3 linked regions of the Stegostoma tigrinum genome follow. The protein of the gene in region 3 interacts with the protein of the main gene of each other region in a biochemical or structural test. Links are inferred from orthologs where the notes say so. Each region holds a gene or a part of one and is shown on either strand. Other genes may lie near its edges. The genes, in order: rap guanine nucleotide exchange factor 5, rapgef2b and rap1aa.

Region 1 (7,477 bases), on a different chromosome or scaffold from region 3:
CCAGATACAACGCATCATCCTCCAACACTTTCGCCATCTACAGTCCGACCCCACCACCCAAGACATTTTTCCATCCCCCCCCTTGTCTACCTTCTGGAGAGACCATTCTCTCTGGGACTCCCTTGTCCACTCCACACTCCCCTCCAACCCCACCACACCCGGAACCTTCCCCTGCAACTGCAGGAAGTGCTACACTTGCCACCACACCTCCTCCCTCACCCCCATCCCAGGCCCCAAGATGAATTTCCATATCAAGCAGATGTTCACCTGCACATCTGCCAATGATCCTTGACCTGTCTGTCCTCCCCGGACTGAACTATCCCCTCCCCACCTCTACTCTCCTCTCTACCTATCTTCTCCTCTATCCATCTTTGGTCCGCCTCCCCCTCTCTCCCTATTTATTCCAGAACCCTCTCCCCATCCCCCTCTCTGATGAAGGGTCTAGGCCCAAAACGTCAGCTTTTGTGCTCCTAAGATGCTGCTTGGCCTGCTGTGTTCATCCAGCCTCACACTGTGTTATCTCGGATTCTCCAGCATCTGCAGTTCCCATTATCTCTGATTAAAACCTAACACATCCTGTCTTATCCCAGCGGAGTATCCCAAGGGATGCTGCACTGCACATTTCTGTGAAAGCCAGGTTCTGAAGATCCCAGAAGAAAGGAGCGCCAGCAGTAACCCAACCAGCATTTCCGAAGCAGCAGCAATACTTTGACCCTGTTTGTTCGTCTGTCCATAGGACATCTCAAAACCTGCTGGACAGATCTCAACTAAAGTTGGCACACTTATGATATTGTCCCCAATGATAGCCTGGTTAGTTTTCTAGATCCAAATGTAGATCCTGGAATATTTTTAAAGAACCCATTAACAGTAAGAGATAAGGTAAATTGACATTTTAAAAATTAATATAATGGGCTGCTTTAAGCCTTTCATCATTGAAGGTCGGCAGAGGTAAAGTTTTCAACCAGTTTGTTAATCTATAAAACAAACTCTCTCAAAAACTAATAAATGGTTTATAACAAAACTTGATACATGGATAGAGTATGGTTCAAGGGAGAAAATATTAGTTTTTATTTCACCAGCACATGGATTCTGGAATTATTTAAAAGATATCAAGAGAATGGGTGGTTTGATTTTCTTTTACAACACATGGATTATCTCAACAGTTGTGGTGGAATTTGTCAGAGCTGACAAACTGAGAGCTTTTTCAGAACAGAATGTTGGATTTGGTTTGGTCTGAAGTTTCCTAACTGTGATGCAAGTTCATGATAAAAGTTTTTTTTTGACAGCTTTGTCATTACAGAATATCAGCAAAGCAGGGAAAAGCTCAGGAAGACCTATATATTTGTAATAATTGAGTTAACACAACATAATGGAAATATGCACTTAGTAGTTAACTAAACCAAAGCAAAATGATAACACGAAAACTTCATTGTATTATTACTCGTTTGAAATTCTAACATTTTTGACAATTATGAAGGTATTTTTAAAATGAATACAGTTTTGTAATTTTTTGTGTTCACAGTCAAAAATTTCAGTGACATGGAATAGAAAGGCTTTCTATTGCTGACATGCAGCATTAAGCACTTCTCTCTCCCTAATGAGGTGCAACACAGGGTGATACTTTATTCTGCCTTAACAATGTGTTATAGTCTTAAGTTTTACATTCCTCACACCAAACAGTTTCCACAAGTGAGGTAGTCAATTAGTACAGCAAGAAACTTTGCCATCTAATCAGTGTGCGTTGGACTCAAACCAATGTCCCCAAGGTTGAAGGAGCCTGTGCAATTACATTTTGCCACTCAGTTCTTCACCACAGAGGTTTAATATAAAAATGTGACAAGAATTGTAATTAGTCGGTATTATCCTTTGACCAGCCACATATTACTAAAAACATACTTATTTCTGAGCTGTTTGTGGTGTCATATTGTTATTGCCATCTGCTAAAGGAATGGTAACATGCAAGTACAGTATTTGAGCAAAATATTAGTTTTTTGTAGTTTTTTTTAAAGTTGTGCATGCTAATATAGAGAAGGCCATTACAATTTTGCAGTAAATTGAAAACCAAGAATATTTTCCACTCAGGGGACCTCTGCTATTATTTTTAGATACCAAAAAATGTGTAATATGCCATAACAATAGTTCAGACAATGCATGTTTGAGTGACCTTCAATTTTCTCAGCAAAATGCTTTCAATTTCAAATTTCCCTCTCTCCCAGATAATATTTTGCAAAAGTATTTCGTTTACATTACTGAGCTACCAGTTCTATTGAGCAGTATGCAAAACTACAAAGTGACATTTTGTTTTAAGCAATTAATTGATGTTTACGATGTTTATCACGAAGTGTGAAGTGTTAATATGTCTTACGGTTCAAACTAATAGAATAATCAAACTCTCCTGACAGATTCAAACAATAGAAATTAGATTATAAAGTTTGAGTTTTCCTCAAAACATTTCAGTACATGACTGCAGATTAAAAGTGTCTTTTTAAAAAAAACTCTTTATTCGCCTGAGCCTGTATTTAATATATGTTCCACCCTCAATAGCAAACAATCTATTCGCAAAGATATGTAACCTGTCAGCAAATTACAATTACCTGCTTCATATTATATTGTTCGATAAAATGTTTCCTCTTGAACCTTGCAAAAGAATACCTAGTAAAATAGTGATCACATCCTCTCATAAATGTAATATAATTTTGCCCTGTATTATTTGATTACAGTATAAATTGCAGAATTGTACAATTACCACATCAGCCTGCTTCTTCTTGAGGTTCAATCCATTTTTCAGAAGTGCAGGTAGGTCTTTTATCTTCTGTTTTAATTGTCCTTGCCCCTTTACGTTTCTGCTCCATTTAATAGCAGCTAAAAGTCCTACTTCTGGGACACAGAAACTGCCAGGAATATCAGTCCGTTGAGCCATTCTCTCACAAGCTGGCACAGATACTCATTTTTCCTGTACTGCAATGTAGTTCAGTTTGCAGCTGAGTCCACTGTGTTCTGTTTGATAAGCTGCAGTTTTACATACTCCACCCAGCCATTTGCCTTCTGCTGTGCATATAATCTGCATCTGCATTGTATATCGCATACTGAATGAGGTCACCTACAGGTGCAGGATATCCCATTATGCAATGTTTCCTCTTCCATTGTAAACCTCCAGTGCTCTGAGAAAGCTGGTTTCCATCTCAATTTTTGTTTCATACAAATCTGAACATTCACAATTAATAATTAAATTGTCACAACTGACGCTTTGCAGTTCAAAATAATGTCACTACTTTGGACAATGCAGTGCTAACCATCAAAAAAATCAACTGTAAATATTAAAATTTAGGTTACATTTGTGTTAGCAGACACTAGATGAACAAATGAATTTCTAAACTGTAATACTGTAGATGTGCTTTGATCCTTATCAGAGTTCTATAATGTCCAGCGACACAGTATCTCAGATTTGTCATGCTTATTAGCTTATTACTCTAAAGCAAATAATTAAACAATAAAAGTATTTAACAATAATTAATGAATATTCAAATGCTGCATTTGCCAATTACACAATGTACATTTCTTTCTTCTGTTAAACAAATAATGAATCCTTTGCTTTACTTTGAGATTTTAAAACGTCTGTTTCAACGACAATGTTCATTTATATAATAATTTCAATAGCTAGTTAGTATTACTCTTTGTTCATTAAAGTAATTGCTGTTTGTTCCTTACTTGTGCCGGACTTCCAAGAGACTGTTCTATTAATTAACGGCAAGCGACATATAAAAATACATCTTGCCACTTTGCATCTTGTACTATTTAAAGAATGAAGACAATGCAACAGGTAGTGTGTACCACGGCATTACTCTGTTGTATTGTCAAATACTGTTAGGATAACACAATGTCTAAAATATATGCCAAGGTGCCATACATGGTAGGATTCACCATGTCCAAGCAACTTTAATATAGTGGTGGTGATTCATCTAGTGTAAAGCCAGTTTAAGAAAAAAATGTTTCCAGGTTTTTGGTGGCCTTTACAGAAATGTTTCAAAATTAAGTTTTAAACTAATCTTCGATATCAGCAAAGAAACCAACAATTCTGCCAGCTTTTCATTAACGTTGAAAAGCAATGAACAAAGCTCTGTGTGCTAACACAAGAACACAAGGCTCCAAATTTTCTGGCCAGATGGGAAGCAGAACTAGCAATAAATCTCATGTTGGCTGGATATACATCATTTCCAACAGGTATAATTATCAAAAATGAGACTGTCATATCACAGCAACATTAGGGATGATCGCTTAGCAATTTCAGCTTTATTACTGGTGCTAACAAAGATATTGGACCCATTACTGTAGGCCAAGGCTTCTCAACCATCTCTTTGAGATGTCCCTCAATGTGATACCAAAAAAGACCTCTTGTAAGATTGCCCACCCCTAAATGAAAATTAGTTAAACAGGTTTTGAAAATTACACAATAGAGCATATTATTCCATGAAAGATAATCCATCACTTTCGCACAGTTTGAGTCAAAATAATATCATCCATTTAGCAGTTCAACAGAGGAAAGATTCCCTCATTAATCCATACAGCAATATCATGAACCCATTTACAAAGAACCAATGTTCAACAGAAGGCTGTAAAATACCAAAGTGGAGAATAAGATGCTATTTCTCCAGTTTGCATTGGGCTTCACCAGAACATACAACCAAAAGAGAAATGTGAGCACCAAGAACAAGATGGTGCATTAAAATGAAGAGTGGCTGGAAGGCCAAGGTCATGTGTCTGGACTGAACAGAAGTGCTTCACAAACTGATCACTTGTGGTTGGTCTCCATAGTGTAGAAGAGGCTGCACTGTGAGAATGAATGCAGAAAACTAGATTGAAAATGATAGATGTAAAACAGCTGCTTCTCCTGGAAGGATGGTCAGAGCCTTTAACAGTGACGTGGTAGATGGGTAAATGTTTCCCATCCCTGCAACTACATGGGAATGGTCCATGGGTGAGGTTACAGTGGAGCAGGAGGGAACAGGCTCTTTGGATGGCCCACAGGAGGAAAAAGCATGTTTGATGATGGCAACTTGCTGCAGATAACAGAAATGAGGACAAGCTGAATCCTTCAGTGATTCTGGGAGGAAGAGGAGATGCCCAAAGTGGAGGAATTGTGTGAGACTCACATTGAAAGTTCTGCCCAAAAATGTGGAGGGAGTCCATATTTGAGGAAAAAGACTTTTCAGAAGCATTATGTGGATATGTTATGAAGTTTGGCAAGATTTTTAAAGGTAATTTATGTACTGAAAACATAGCTAGTGAGCAACTGATGAAAATCCAGTATTAGTGATAAGAAAACATTGCAATTCTTGTCAAAATGCCATCTGGTTCACCAATCTTCTTTCGGGAAGAAATATGATGTTTTTACCTAGTCTTACTTACATGGGACTCCTGATCTATAGCAATCTGGTTGGCTCTTAATTGTCCTTTGAGTGGCTTCTGGGCCACTTGTAATAAACTGCTGCAAATTCAAAGTGAAATGAAACAAGAGCTCCTAAGATGCTGCTTGGCCTGCTGTGTTCATCCAGCTCCACACTTTGTTATCTCGGATTCTCCAGCTTCTGCAGTTCCCGTTATCTCCAAGAGGTAGCACCCTGAAGGCTTTTATTCCAACTTCAGATATCAATGATAAAGGCAGTTCTAACAACAGGATATATCTAATGTTCTTTATTAAAGCAAAGTCCACAAAAAAGCACTGCAAAAATCTTAACCATGTAATGCTTATAATTGCAAGTGATCTGGATTACATGGACTTGTCCAAGACTTGTATCAGATGGTCTGCCCAATCCAGTTCAACCTCTAGTCACTGATCAGATGGTCTTGTTCTCAGCTAGCTATCACCAGCACAAGATTTCTTATTCTCTTTCTCCATAGTGTGTTGAAACTCTCTACGCAGGCTCCAGCAATTTGATCAGTTCAACTATTAGCAAACGTTACTGATGTGCCATGCTTTCCATGACAGGTTTGATCAATTACACATTAGGACTTGTTTGTTTTGCTTGAAAAGAGGGTTATTCCTTGATTTTAATCAAATTTTGATCTCAGACTTAACTTGCTCAGCCTATTGTCACATATATGTCTTGCAAACAACCAAATGCTATTTACACAGGGCAATTTTCTGATCAAGCACTCTGTTTAGCTGATAGATCTGATATCCTGGACTATTTTAAAACAAGATTCCAGCCTTTCAAACATTAAGTCCATTACAGTTGAGTCACAGCATTTAATCAAAATACACACTCTTTCAAACATAGAAACACAATAAAACTAATGACATTTCTACCCATTCAGTCATTGTCCAGCATTAACTTTTCAGTACAGCTGATTTCATATGGTTTTTCTTTCATTTCATTTCGGTTAAACTAGCAAATGTTAGGGTAGTATCTCCAATCCATTATCCCCCTAGGAAACAACAATGGCAAATCCCTGGAAAATCCTCCTTACTAATTTTTTTGGATTTGTGCCAAAATTGGAACAGTTGTCCCACAGACTGATCAAGCAACAAATAAAAGCAAGCTAGTGTGGGTGCTGGATATCTGAAAATAACAAAGTGCTGGAGAAACTCAGCAGATCTGACAGCATCTGTGGAGAGGGTAACAGAATAAATGTTTTCAGTCTGATATGAGTCTTCAGAACAAGGAAACAATAGCCTGATGCGGTTGAACTCTCAGAATCACACCTTTCAGATAATTCTGTGACACTACCATACTGCCTATCAATATCATCATAAATGCCCTGTCCCACAAGCTGGTCAGAGCTACCACAGATGGTGTCAGTGGTGAACAATCAGGAAGATGTTGTCCTGGGAGTCTTTGACATTGACTTTGGATCTTGCAGACTCTTATGGCATCAGGTCAAACATAGGCAAGAACATTTCTTTCTGATTACAAATTACAAACTCACCAACAGCAATCATGCCCCACCCCAACCTGGATGATGAATCCACAAAAAACACCATTTGGAAGAAACAGAAAGCATCAAGGACACAAAGTACTCTTGGCCTGGGTCTGGGACCTCAATATCCATCACTAAGAGTGGCTCAGCAGGAACACCACTAAGATAACAAAGTGTGGAGCTGGATGAACACAGCAGGCCAAGCAGCATCTCAGGAGCACAAAAGCTGACGTTTCGGGCCTAGACCCTTCATGAGAGAAGAGCCTAGGCCCGAAACATCAGCTTTTGTGCTCCTGAGATGCTGCTTGGCCTGCTGTGTTCACCCAGCTCCGCACTTTGTTATCTTGGATTCTCCAGCATCTGCAGTTCCCATTATCACTCACACCACTAAGACAACTGGATGAGCCTTGAAGAACATAGCTGCTGGACTATGTCTGCAATTTTTGGACAGGAAATCAACAAAAATAATTCTAAGTGATATGTGATACCTACCACAGATTCATTACAATATTTGAGAGTGACCATTGTATAGCTCTGTGGAAACGACGTCCCATTTTCA
Region 2 (7,357 bases), on a different chromosome or scaffold from region 3:
TACTTTTTACATAACACTTTGCTTTTATATGATATATAGTTGAAAAGAAAAAACATGCAACAAGAAATGATGTTCATTGGAACACTGAAGTTTCTTCTCAGTACAGGCTGAGGAACAAGGAAAAATAAATCTGAATCATTACCATTCATTGAAGGCAATTTGCTTTGTGTAATCTTCAAGTAAGTTTTTTGCAGAGCTGCACATCCAGAATAAAAACTTAAAAAAGACCAGGTTGTGAGCACACTGCACAGGAACATTCAGGTTATTGCACATAACACAGCTCAGAGGGAAGATTCAAAGGTGTAGGGGGAGGTGGGGTAGAATCTTATTGCAGTTCACATAGGCAGTTTGCACTATAAACATTGGAACTTATCACAAAAATTTGCAAAAAGTATGGACAGATACAAAGTTTTAAGAAATACACAAGTAGTTTAGATCCCCTCAATTTAAATAAAAATAATTTACAATGATACTGATACTGTAGAGAAAATTCAGATAATGTCTGCCAGAATACTATGTCATAAATTAATCCTGCATTGCAAGTCATAAGAATTTAACATTTTTTGTGAAGACAATGTTAAAAACTGAGGTTACTGTATTTATCCAACATGTCATGTAATAATAGATTTTCAGTGATTAACACTACATAGTCACCTTACTAAAATATTTTTGCATGTTGTTCCTCAGTAAACCTACAACCATTCAAAACTGGTTGCAAGTCACCTGTAGCCTGAGCACAACACTATGATAATGAAATGAAATTTCTTTGAATGAAATATTACTGTTATGTTGAATTAATAGTTCAGATGATGAGTGGTGCAAATATTCACTGACATTATTTTTTGAATAAATGATCTTTTGCAAAGCATTATTGATGAAAAAGGGATTTTAAGATATTCCCAGGAAGTGTACTTATAACAACTTCTGGACATGTGAATTTGTCTGACATCCCTTCACTAAGTGCAATTTTTAAACACATACATGTATACATACATATATAATTACCAAAACACTGCTAAATGGCCTACAAAGCGTGCACTCTAAGGACATTATAAAATTGGCTCCTAATCTTTTACAACGTCTCAAAGGTCACAAGCATTACACATTAAATATAACTCCGTGTAAAATTAAAAACTTCTCTACATAACATGTCTGACACTAGGTCAGTGAAATCTGAATTATAAATAAATATCGTTCCTGTCAAATGACTGCGCATGCCTAGATCTCAGACTACAAATGCCTACGTGAGTTTGATTCTTGTCAACCTCCCACAGTAAAAGCATCAAAAGGTAAAAATATAATTTATTCCATTAAGCTTCACTATTCTCATCCTGGATTGTATACAATTACGCTATCATAAGCGACTAGACATGCTTTAATTATTCTGTTTCCAAAGTCTCATTCATCATTTTAAAAACGTTTACAACTTATTCCCGTTGTCAATTGTGGATGCATAAAACCGTGACCATTTCTCTCACGACTAGAACATAGCAACAGTGAAAAAAACTTTCAAATCTTAATTATAGTTACAAGTAAAGAGAGGATAATTGGGCACAAGCTAAACCTACTGCTACCAAAATCAGAATTGATTGAAAAAAGAAAGAATATTCGTTATTAAACGCGATTATACATAAATAACGAATAAATGTGATTATGTTCTCCGATCACTGTCGCATTTAAAAAAAATAGTACGGACAAGAAGGGGTAAACTTAGGTCATCCAAAGTCGCCGATCAAAATAAATAAATCACACTAAATAAATTTGTTTATATTGCAGATAAGAAACAACATAGGTGCATATTTTTAAATGTGATGCTGGTGCTGACATCCAATCCCAAACTCCATCAATCCACCGTTAGAAATTTGGGAAATGATAAAAACTCAACGGTACAAATGGTAAATTAAGTCTGCGTTTCTCAGAAGTGGATGTTGGATCGATCAGGATAACAAAAAAAAAGTATGAAAAAAATAACATTTTTCGAGAAGCGGGGAAATGCTTCAGAAATTCCCTTAACGCCGTACAGAGACAGTGACAGGGGCAAAGAGAGCTTTGTTAGCGGAACAATCTTCCTTGACGTGAATCTCAAATCACAACGAGATGCGCAAGGAAAAAAAACCGGAAAACAATTAAAATAATCTACTATACTTCGGGGGGGGGGGGGGAGTCACATATCTTTCATCGTACACACAACCAAGAGGGGAAAGAAATCACCACAACCCAGCAAAGAGGTGGGCAAGATGGGCCGCTGGTGCCCATCAGATGCGAGCCGTACTCCCATTACCAAAGCATCGATACTTGCGATTATTTGCCCACTGTTCATACCTGTTGCGTCCTTTCTGCCGGGTTCTTCATGACCGCTTGTCTGAAGTTATTATCCACGTAAGACGCCATGGTTCCGACCTCGACCCGGTGCGGGCCTATAAAATAATAGGGCCTCGAGTCGACTCGAGCCTCCCTTTACGGCAGCGCTACTTTCCTAATTCTCGGAGGGGAGAGACGCCTGGGAATGTCTGCACTCAGAGCGCAGGCCCGAGATCGGCCTCAAGTAGCTGGAGCAACCCCAAAGACGTCACCGCGATCAGAAGCTTCTGTCGGCTTCTGGAATGTGAACGCCAACTCGGAGCTGCCCTGACAACCACAACCGTCCGCGCGGCACCCGCCGCTCCCACTCTGTACAAAGCAACGACTCTTCGCAGTAATACCCGATTCTATCCAGCTCCTTGGGATGCTTCATAATCCATCGGATTATTTTTATAATTAAACCACAAATAATTTCGCCTCGTTGTCTTGTCCTGGACAGCTTCGGGAATAATCCAGAAAATAACAAGTGCTTTCTAAATGCGTTGTCTAATCAAAGCGCTGTTTAAATGTCGATGTCAAATTATTTCGTTGTTGTTTAATTTCAATCAGATACGAACGACCTGCACTGGACCCTTTGTTTCATCACAAAGTGAAAATCTCCTGGAAACAGAAAGGAGATGGAGGAGGGACGAAAACTAATGACAACTAAACTCTCGCTAAAAGCTCGGCCAAAAACTCTCTACCGCCTCCTCACTCAGATCATCCAGAAAAAAATGGTGCCTTAATTTGTTGTCTCCTCCCAAAGCAGCCAAGGGGCAACGAGAAAGAACATACAGCACATGCCATAAAGATGACAGGATGTATCACGAGGTGCTGTGGTGTGACTATATCTAACCATGGAATCGTTAAAATTAAAAGTGCAAAAGTCGAACGAGAAGAGGGCAGACACGTTCATGCTTCTCGCCAAGGGTTAAACTCAGCGTTATCGTTATGAAAACAGCGGGTTTCAACATGTTCCATTTGTTTACGAAGTTTATATATATAAATGAAATTACAAAAAGCTTATTTTTAAAAATACAAATAGCCAAACTGTTAGTGAAATTCAGAAATAATGAATTAAGAGGAATGAGTGTGGCACTATCAACAATGATGTTACGGTTCTAAGGAAAATCCATGCTCCAGACCACAAGGGGGCACAGGTTCAAGGTGAGAGGGGCAAGTTTTTCACATAGATGGTGATGGGTGCCTTGAATGTACTGTCAGTGGCGGCGATGAGAGCAGGCACGTTAGTAACGTTTAAGGCGTATCTTGACAAGACACTTGAATGGAAAGTGAAAAGAGGGATAGAAAGCGTTAAGTAACGGGTCCAAATAAGGACTGGAATCGACGCAGGCTTGGTGGGCCAAACGGCCTGATTCTGCGCTGTATTCTATTGTGTAAATGGTTCCGTCACTGAATGTGTTTGTATTTAAATGAGGAACAGAGGCTGTTGCATTCTTGACTTTTTTTTAGAACTCCCAATAGTGAAAAAGAGATAGGTAAACAATTTAGTTGCCAAATTTCATTGAAAATGAAGAAAAAATTAAATAAAATATTTTACTTTAGTCCTTTTTTCTCAATCCAATTTTCATTAAGTTTGCTTTCTGAAACTGATTTAACATAAAGTACAATGTTGTAATGCCAGTTTCTGATTCAGAGCCTGCTTATTGCAGAGGTGTACAGTTGTCTACCTGTTTACAAAACTTCTGTAGTAAATGGGGAAATTTTTGGCTCTTTTCATCTATCATTTGCTATCTATCATAAGAAGTCTACCAGCAATGGTAAAGAATGGTCATTGCCAATCATTTGCTGCTGACTACAAAGTATAATCCTTTACCATACATCATTTCCTACTTTTAAGATAACAAAGTGTGGAGCTGGATGAACACAGCAGGCCAAGCAGCATCTTAGGAGCACAGCTCCACACTTTGTTGTCTTGGATTCTCCAGCATCTGCGGTTCCTACTTTAATTTGTTTTTTTGATGGAAACTCAAAACTGTGAAGCTCCTGTTCTCGATTAAAAACAAAAAGAACTACGGATGCTGTAAATCAGCAACATGAGACTGAAGAAAGGAAATAAAACTCTTGATAAAACTGTGCTTGCAAAGAACTAACCTAAAAACATGCAACTGTCTTTTCATTCAGATCCTCCTCTACTCCAAAAAATAGCTAAAAGGTAAAGAGGAAGAATTCCAACACATGCCGTAAAGATGAAAGAATACGTCACAGGATCCTATGGTGTGGCATATTGATCCATGGAAAAGTTAAAGGAAAAAACACAAAAGCTGTTAAGCATGGAAAGAGGAAAGTCTTGTTAATGTTCTGACCAAAGGTTACATCTGAAACTTAAAAAAAGTCTTCATTATAAGTTTATTTCTTTATTTCATTTTCAAAATTATTCATGAGATTTATATATTTTAACAAGATGTTAAAGATATCACTTTTTTCCTTAGTCATATTAAGTTACTTAAAGCTCTTAATATTGTTATTCCACTTTTGTTACTTAGAAAGCAATGGAAACTTTCAAAATAGGAGGCCATTCAAAATATTGTGTTCATATTTTCTCTTTAAAAGAGAAGTGATGCTTTGTCCCACTATACTTACTTTTTATCTATGTATGTGCAAATTCTTCATCTCTATGACTCAATAACTGCAGGTGCTGAAGATCTGAAACAAATAAAAACAGAAATTTCTACAAAAAGATGGCAGGTCTGGCAGCATTTGTGGATAGAAAAGAGAGTTAGCATCGAGGCTAGAGGCCCTTCTTCAGAAGATTAAACCAATACCTTTCCAAATTGAAGTCCATTTTGACCCTATAGATGCTTTTCAGTAACTTCCACCCAATGATACTCTGGTACTATTTCTATATTTAATGAGGATTAGATAAATTGATTTTTAAGAATGGAACTTGATGCACTTTTTAATGAGTGTTGTGTATGTTTAAGAGTACAAAATTAATTACTAATTTAGGACAGATAATTAATAGCTTTGTCTTTTCAGCATCATTATTACACAAATCTTACTGTTTCTATAGATTGTGCAAAGAAAGGACGATCAGGGGCTTAAACAGAAGTTGATGGAAAAGCTCAGCAGTTTTGGCAGCAGCTATGAATATAAAATCTGAGTTAACATTTTGGGTTCGGTGACCCTTCCCCATAACTGATGGTAGCTGGGAAAACATCAATTTATACGCAGAAAATAGGGAGGGGATGGGGTAGGGAGTAAATGGTAGGATAGAGCCTGAAGAGAGAGAACAGCAGTTGGATAGACAAAGGAGGTGATACCATGTGGCTGGAAGGGCGAATTGTTGTTAATAGAGACCGTTAGTGACTAACAGTAAATAGCATGTAATGGCAGGCCACGTGATAACAAGACCTGGTGTTTGGGGTAGGGGGCTAGGACATGGAAGAGTTTAGGCCATAAAATTATTGAACTCCATATTGAATCCGGAGGGCTACAGCGTCCCCAAGGGGTAAATAAGGTCTTGTTCTTCCAGCTTGCATTGAGCTTTGTTGGAACACTGCAACAAGCCAGAGTCAGAGATGTTGGCCAGGGAGCAGGGTGGTGTGTTAAAATGGCAGGCAACATGTAGCTCAGGCTCCTTTTTGCGAGCCAACTTTGCCATCTGGACACAGCATCCAGTTCATCAAAGTTGATTTTACAAGAGGTTTGCCTGACAATTTGAGTACACTGTAAGATCAACAGCGGCATTTGTTGCACAATAGTCCTATTGAATCCAAGGGAAGTAGTAGAGGCTTTGGTAATGGAATTTATTATGTGCTATTATGAGTTGTCGATACACATTCAAGGTCTCATTGCAGCAAAGGAGTGTGATGATAACAACTGCTCCATACATGAGAATGCAAGTTGACTTCCAGAGGTCATTCTTGGCAAACACTCATTACTGTAATTTGTGAAAAATCTGAACTGGCAAGCTGATCCTGCATTGGATCTGCTTATCAAAGGTTATTTTTTGAGAGAGATGGCTATTAGGATAGGGGAAGCACTCAACACAATTGGTAAGGCCAATTTTAGAATACTGTACAATTCTGGTTGCCCTTCAATAGGAAGGATGTTAAACTTGAAAGGGTACAGGAAAGATTTACAAGAAAGTTTGAGTTGTAGAAGGAGGCTAAATAGGCTGGGGTTTTCTTTTCCCTGGAGCATTGGAGGTAATCTTACACAGTTATATAAAATCATGAGGGGCATGGATAGGGTAGATAACCAAGGTCTTTTTCCTGGGCGGGGGAGTTCAAAACTAGAGGGCATACGTTTGAGGTGAGAAGGGCAAGATTTAAAAAGGGGTAATGTTTTCAATCAGATACTGGGGTATATGTGGAACGAACTGCCAGAAGGAGCAGTGGAGGCAGGTGTGATTACAACATTCAAGGGCACATGGATGGCTTGAATATAAAGTTTAGAGGGCTATGGGCCAAATGCTGGCAAATGGGACAAGGCCCGATTTGGATCTGTAGTTAGCATAGATGACTTGGACCGAAGGGTCTGTTTCCGTGCTGTGGGCTTTGACTATGACTATATAAATATTTATACATGGTTGACTAGATACGGTGAGTATTTTTATCCTTTTGTGGATCTGGGAGTGCTGGCAAGGCCAGCGTTTGTTGCTTATCCCTAATTACCCTTGAGAAGGTAGCAGTGAGCTGTGTACTTGAACTTCTGTAATTCATTGAAAATGAAAGGGAGTTCCAGAATGTTCATGCAACAACAGTGAAAGAGCAAATACAGTTTGCAGTCAACATCATATGTGGCTTGGAGGGGAGAGACTTGCAAGTTGGAGTGCTCACATGCATCTAACCTATTTGCTGCCCTTGTCCTTCTAGGTGATGTCATTAGCTTTGAGAGTGAGAAGAAGCCTTAGTAAGTTGTCACAATACATCTCTTATATTGTAACATTGTTGCGACAGTCCATTGTTGATGCCTAGAGTGAATGTTTAAGATAGGGTCTGATCAAATGACAATTTGTTGAGTTTCAAGTGTTGTTGGAGCTCCATTCATT
Region 3 (6,968 bases):
CAGATTAGGACTACTTCCAACAATTGTCAGTTCTGTTTAATACCAGTATCCACCAACCAGCATGTTCCATGCTCAATTTGCCAATACTGTAAATATCATGTATAATGTAATTCAAGCAAAAGCAATGAAATTCTGGCAAGAAATTGATTTAAAAAACATACAGATTACAGTCTAACCACACATTCCCACAGGGCAGTCAAAGGCTTTCCTATTTCTTTTGAGAATTTTTTCACATGACGTAGATCTTTTCTTGTGCTACTCTTCTAGTGTGGCGACAGCACTCTTCAATTACATAAAAGCGACTGGTTCATAGAGTGACTATTTACATATTCAATTATTTGGGGGGTGGGGGGGGGGGAAGGAGGAGGAGGAGGAGGAGGAGGGTACCAGAAGCCATCACTCCTTGCAGTTGCTACTTATCAGTGCTAGACTGCCTTCTACAAGACCAACCCAGTTTTCTACACATTAAGAAGCTGAAAGCAAATCAACTCCAAACCACGTTTGATCTTTTTATATTAGTCAGTGCAGTGTTGCCAACATTATAAAAAAATTACCAGGTGACTTTCAAAAGTTAAAGAGCTGGTGCTGATTAACCTCCACTAAAGACAAATTTTGAACTCCAACAGATTTGAAACCAACATTCCGCTCAGACTCTTAAGACAAGCTCAATCTCGTTACAAGTTTAGCATAAAGCAGAAATTGTTAGTTATTTGACCTCAACACTAAAGCAAGAACATCAAGAGTCCTGCACGCTATTGCAAGGTAAAATTGATTATGACAAAACAATGTAAGTGAATGTTTGATTGTGCTGTTAAATACAGCAATATCAGTACTTCAGCCTAAAGGGGAATACTTCAATGTTACTTGAACACAAAGACAAAATTTTTATGTTGTCAGATAATGTCCAAGCACAAGTCCAAATGAAAAGTTTTACATCATAACACTTACTGAAATCCTACAATACTGCACAACACAACCAAATATAAAAGAGTTAGAACATGTTTTCTCTCCCCTTTGAATATTCAAAAATTCCACTGTTCACCTCAAGAATGAAGCTATGTCCTCCAAAGGACTACAGAGACGCTCTATCAAAAAACATTACAGAATAAGGAAGGAGACGCCCCATTGCCTCAGTCATTCCCCAATCAAACAACTATCACAGGTAAGAGAAAGTGTTCGTGACAAGCCACACCTTTAAAGGATCTAATGCTGCAATCTGTCATGCTAAGTCTTTATATTATAAACACGATGGGGAATATCAGTCAGAAAGTCAGCTTATAGAACTCTTGCACCAAATGCAGTGGTTATCAGAAATCAAAAGGAGGGTTTGGAAAAAACACAAGCCAAGCAGATGCTTGCAAGTCACAAATTCATTTCTGAAGGATTCAGTATTTTACTAACCTTGTAGGTTCCATCTACTTCAGGTTTTCATACCTTATATTTGTCTATGTCCTATCGCCAAGAAATATAAGTTGAAACCTCCCATCACATTCACTGGGCAGTAAACAAAATTTGATTATACAGACTTCAAAATTTACTGAGGACACAACTCCCTTTACATAAATAATGAGAAAGGTAGTTAAGATCTATACATCTCTGGATGCATTTCTGCAGTAATGGTAGTGGTTTGCATTCAAGTGGTCCATCAGATTAACTAAATCCGATCAAGAAATTAAAACCAGTGCTTTAGATGCTTCAAAAGAATGTGTAAAAGCATAAAACATTAAAAAAACAAATACTGACAAAAAACAATGTGAAAAGCAACAGAACTGAACCTTGAGAATACAGATGGATGCAAAAGATTTATAGTAATTAGTTCCAATAAACAGGATCTCCCAAAAATTAATCTGAAGGAGGGTCTAGGCCCAAAACATCAGCTTTTGTGCTCCTGAGACGCTGCTTAGCCTGCTGGGTTTGTACAGCTTCACATTTTGTTATCTCCCAAACATTAACTCAAGTTCCACTGTGTCACTGAGATGCACTTCCACAATTTGCTGTCAATCATCAACTTCATTCAGCCAGTCACACCTAAAATAGATTTGCATGCTGTGGCAATTTACACAAGGTTGCTTTGAAACCCATGCAGGCTGGATTCTCAGTGACTAGTGTGCAAGAATCATTTACGCTACTCAGTGCTGGAAGTGTGGATCTACAATGGAGAAGAAAACTGGATTGTCAAGTCTGCTGCCCAGTTGAGAGTTGGATTTCTCATAAATAGCAAGGTGGGGGGGAGGGGGGTTGACTTTTCAGCTGAACGCAACCAAACATATAAGTGTGAAATCAGCTGGAATCAAACACCCACCACTGGGCTCAATGTTACCCCATCCTGACAGTATACAGCTTTGGTTTTTTTTAAAAAACATTTCACGCAGGCACAAGGGAAAAAGTGACACCGGTTTACCATTTGATTACTCAGTCTCTATATGGAAATTGAACAGGTTTTCGCAGGGATCTGTAACGCTGTTGGTGCTGCCGCCTGACACAGCCGCAGCAGGGATGGGCCCTCAGCTCCAGCCGAGGTATACTCACCCCGGGGGATGAGGGGCCTAGTTGGCAGGCCCAGGGCGGGGGAAAAGAGGAAGCCCTAACTGCACGCACCCACTACCGAGTGGCGAAGGGTACTTGGAGGCTCCGCATTGCTTCCCGCCCTGAACCGCAAGGGCCGGCGGCTAGGGACGGGCCCAGGAGCGGCGTCGGCCTCTCCTGGAAACGGCCGCTCCCCATTGCCTCAGTCATCTCCGCCCCCCATAAAATAAACACAAACTCCCTTCACTCAAAACCTCCCAGTGGGCCCCACACCCTCACTACCCCCTCAGTTACCCCCCCCCCCATCCCTCCTCCCTCAATCCTCTACCCGCCATCCCCACCCCACACGACGGTCTTCTCCCTCACCGCTGCCGGTTCGGTTCCGTCCCGCTCCCTTCCGCCGCTGTCGCTCCGCCTGAAACCGCTCGAGCTCCTACCCACCTCAGCGCGCGCAGACGCACACACAACACAACAACGTCACCGGCAGCCTCGCTCTGAGCGCCTTAAAAGGGAAACACCTTTTAAAGCGGCAACGACCCGCTCTTCTCCCCCCCGCCCCCAGGCTACCCCTACTGTGGACCCACCGCCGGCGCACGCCGCGCAAGTAATGCTGAGAAGAGCAGAAGGTACCAGGGATCCCAAAGAAGCTGCGATGTGACCGCCCCCGCCAGATGTTGAGGCACCCCGAAGTGCCACGGCACCACCCAAAATACTGAAATCGCTCCGACAGATGGCCCCCAAAACACTGAGACACCTCTCTCTTATAGACCACCAGACACTCACAAACAGAGGACCGTTCAGCCCCTCGTGTCTGCACTCGTCAAAAAACATCCGACTACACTGAGATAACAAGGTGTAGAGCTGGATGAACACAGCAGGCCAAGCAGCATCATAGGAGCAGAAGGCTGGGCCTAGACCTTTCATCAGAAATTCTGGCCTGATGTGTTCATCCAGCTCTTACACCATGTTATCTCGGATTCTCCAGCATCTGCAGTTCCTATTGTCTCCGACTGTACTAATACCATTTTCCTGGAGGAGATGAGTCATAGAGTCATGAGTTGTGCAGCACTGAAACAGATCCTTTGGTCCAATTTGTCTATGCTGACCAGTTTTTCTAAATTAATCTAGGCCCATTTGCCAGCATTTGGTCTCTATCCCTCTAAACCCTTCTAATTCATATACCTGCCAGATGTCCTTTAAATGCTGTAACTGTAAAAACCTCCACAACTTCTGCTGGCAGCTCATTTCATACAAAGGACAAGGGAGCCAAAATCCACCCTCTGAGTGAAAAAGGTTGTCCTTTAGGTCCAGTTTAGATCCTTCCCCTCTCACCTTAAACTGTTTACCACCTTCATAACTTTCATTTTAAAACTTCTTGATCATTAATCCAAATTGTTAATATACAAACAGCAAATGCCCCAGCATCAAATCCTGTGGAAGCCCACTGGAAGTCACAGTCAGAGAAACATCCCTCTACCATTGCCCTCTGCTTCCTAATTTGTGGCTGATTTTCAGCCCAATGTGTCACTTTGGCTTGGATCCCATGGGGTCTTACTTTCTTGATATGTTTCCCATGAGGGACTTTTTCAAAAGTCTTGTAAAAGTCCAAGTAGACCATATCAAATACATTACCCTCATCGACCCTCATGGTTATCACCTCAAAAAATTCAATTAAACTCGTCAAACATAACGTTCCCTTAACGGATCCATGTTGACTATCCCTGATTAATCCATGTCTGTCTAAGTGCGGATTTGTTCTGTCCCTCACAATTCTTTCTAATAACTTCCCCACCACTGAGGTGAGACTGACTGTCCTGTAGTTTCCTAATCTGTCCTTTCCTCCCTTTTCTGTAACGGGACAATGTTCGTAGTGCTCCAGTCCTCTGGCACCTCACCTATGGCCAGCAAGGATTTGAAAATTACTCTCAGGGCTCCCGATATCTGAGATAATGGGAGCTGCAGATGCTGGAGAATCCGAGATAACAAAGTGTGGAGCTGGATGAACACAGCAGGCCAAGCAGCATCTCAGGAGCACAAAAGCTGATGTTTTGGGCCTAGACCCTTCATCAGTGAGCTGATATCTGCTCCCTTTGAACCCTTAACAGCCTGGGATATGTTTCAAACAGGTTTGTGAATGTATCTATTCGTAAAGCTACTAAAGCCACCAGTACTTCCTTTCTCTAAATGTTAATTTCTTCTAATATTTCATAATCGTCCACTTTGATGTCTATACCTGCATCATTCTTTTCCACTGTAAAGACTGATGCAAAACATTTACTGAGAACTGGGCCCATATCTCCCAGATCCACACACACATTTCCTCTATGATTCCTAATGGACCATATCTTTACCTATTTACTTTCCATAATACAATAAAAAACAGGAACAGGAATAGGCCATTCAGCCCCTCAGGCCTCCTCCACAATTTAAACAGCTCTTGATTAGTCCAACATTCCACAGGTGCACTTCCTTGTGTTTTCCCAATTACCCAAGATTCTCCTATTTTTGCTCTTTATATATATATTTTTTTTAATCATTTGGGTTTTCCTTTATTCTATTTTCTCATTAACTCTGCTTGCTGTCCTCATTTAAGATGAAGATTACCCCGTGCACTTTTTGTATCGTCTAGGTACTCTGCTGTACTGAGCCTTGGGTATCTGACATAAACTTCTCCTTTCTTCTCAATCCTAAACTTTATGACTCCTCACATCCACAGCTCTGCTGTTTTACTCCTACACTTTCTCTTTACAGAAACATATTTTCCCCGTACTCCTGCTCCCCCCTTGAATATCTTCCACTGCTTTGATAGATTTATCTGCAAGTAGGTGTTCTGAGACTACTTGGGCCAAGTTATGTCTTATCTTAGTAAACTTAGCCTTAACCAGGTTATAGGTTTCCTTCTTAGCCCATCCTTATCCTTTTCCATTACCATCCTACATGTAACTAAGTTATGGTCACTATTTCTGAAAGATCCCCCTAACTGATACACCTTCCACCTGCGCCCACGATATCAAGGCCTTTCCTTATTGGGTTCCATTGCACCAGTTTAAAAAAAGTGCCCCTTGATACAATTTAAGAATTTTGTTCCCTCTCTGCCTTGAACACTAAAACTATCCCACTTAATAATTGTGAGGCTGGATGAACACAGCAGGCCCAGCAGCATCTCAGGAGCACAAAAGCTTTTGTGCTCCTGAGATGCTGCTGGGCCTGCTGTGTTCATCCAGCCTCACATTTTATTATCTTGGATTCTCCAGCATCTGCAGTTCCCATTACCACTTAATAATTGGTTCATTAAAATCCTTTATGAAACTAATAAATCCCCTCCCACTATTGCCTTTCCCCACTCCACCCTCCCCTACCCCACCCACGCCTTGGCTCTGACAGGCCTCAACAGAGGAACCGTCATTCTCACTAATTTGCAGGACTGAACAGCATTTTGCAAATAGAATGTACTTGGATGATTCCCTCACAACCTACCTGGAGCTTCTGACTGGAGTTCCCCATTCCCATTCTCTACGTATCTTTAATCTGTGGGTTGGCGATGTTTGTGCTGTCCACCAACCTCTCAGCCCTTCATCAATACACCGTTGTGCCCCAGCAGCTGCACAAGCTCCAAACTTCAGAGTTTGAGTTGCTCCTGCTGGAGGGACCTCTGCACAAGGTCATCCTGATCTCCAAGAGGAGGTAGGATTTTGCACAGATTGCGAGATGTGTAAATCATGGGCCTGAGCTTCCCAGACTCACCTTAACCAAGTAGAATATGGTTACTTGCTTTTATTTAGTCTTAGTCCTAGCAGAATCTTCATCTTGCTTATGCCTTGAGCCCCATCCATTGCCATTCTGTCTGAGACACTGATACATCCCTGCAATAAAACACTGAGACACCCCAGAACACTGATAATCCCCATATCACTGGTAAACCTCAAACAATGATATATCTTCCCACTGAATGAACCTTCCCACTGGTATGCCCCAAACCATAAAACACTGGGCCAACTCAACGCTAATACATTTCCAATGCTGATATACCGTCAGCAATGATACATCTCTCAATTCTCTTACACTACTGCAACTGAAAGACCCTGTAACGCTGAAATCATCCTAATTCTGAAACATGCAAATTAGTCAATAAAAGGCAATAATACACACACACACACACACACACACACACACACACACACACACACACACACACACACACACACACACAGTCATTCACCCAGTGATGCTGATGTACATCCGATGGATGCCCACATTATGTTACACACTGAAGACAACAGAACCCTTTATAAAATATCTTGCACTGCCCTCAACCTGCTGCATGTTGCTGGATCGCTCAGGCTTGGCCACCAAAAAGCACACACTGAATTGGATTGACTGCATCTACCGGCTGATATCAGGGATGAGAGCTGACTTTAAGTCAACACTTTGCACAATCACCA

What was found.
Region 1: of the proteins of rap1aa (region 3) and rap guanine nucleotide exchange factor 5, one has a biochemical effect on the other in vitro, tested with the Homo sapiens proteins (2 studies listed by BioGRID). The link is inferred for Stegostoma tigrinum from reciprocal best matches to the Homo sapiens genes RAP1A and RAPGEF5.
Region 2: the proteins of rap1aa (region 3) and rapgef2b form a complex in vitro, tested with the Homo sapiens proteins (2 studies listed by BioGRID and IntAct, with this or other methods). The link is inferred for Stegostoma tigrinum from reciprocal best matches to the Homo sapiens genes RAP1A and RAPGEF2.

What each region holds. Positions count from the first base shown.
Region 1 is NC_081355.1:75,651,309-75,658,785, forward strand, and holds the start of rap guanine nucleotide exchange factor 5, read right to left. Parts: upstream 3,031-7,477; 5' UTR 2,921-3,030; coding exon 2,747-2,920; intron 1-2,746. UniProt on the Homo sapiens protein: Guanine nucleotide exchange factor (GEF) for RAP1A, RAP2A and MRAS/M-Ras-GTP. Its association with MRAS inhibits Rap1 activation.
Region 2 is NC_081354.1:38,387,804-38,395,160, forward strand, and holds the start of rapgef2b (rap guanine nucleotide exchange factor 2), read right to left. Parts: upstream 3,049-7,357; 5' UTR 2,392-3,048; coding exon 2,323-2,391; intron 1-2,322. UniProt on the Homo sapiens protein: Functions as a guanine nucleotide exchange factor (GEF), which activates Rap and Ras family of small GTPases by exchanging bound GDP for free GTP in a cAMP-dependent manner.
Region 3 is NC_081374.1:5,400,472-5,407,439, reverse strand, and holds the start of rap1aa (RAP1A, member of RAS oncogene family a), read right to left. Parts: upstream 3,004-6,968; 5' UTR 2,893-3,003; intron 1-2,892. UniProt on the Homo sapiens protein: Counteracts the mitogenic function of Ras, at least partly because it can interact with Ras GAPs and RAF in a competitive manner. Together with ITGB1BP1, regulates KRIT1 localization to microtubules and membranes.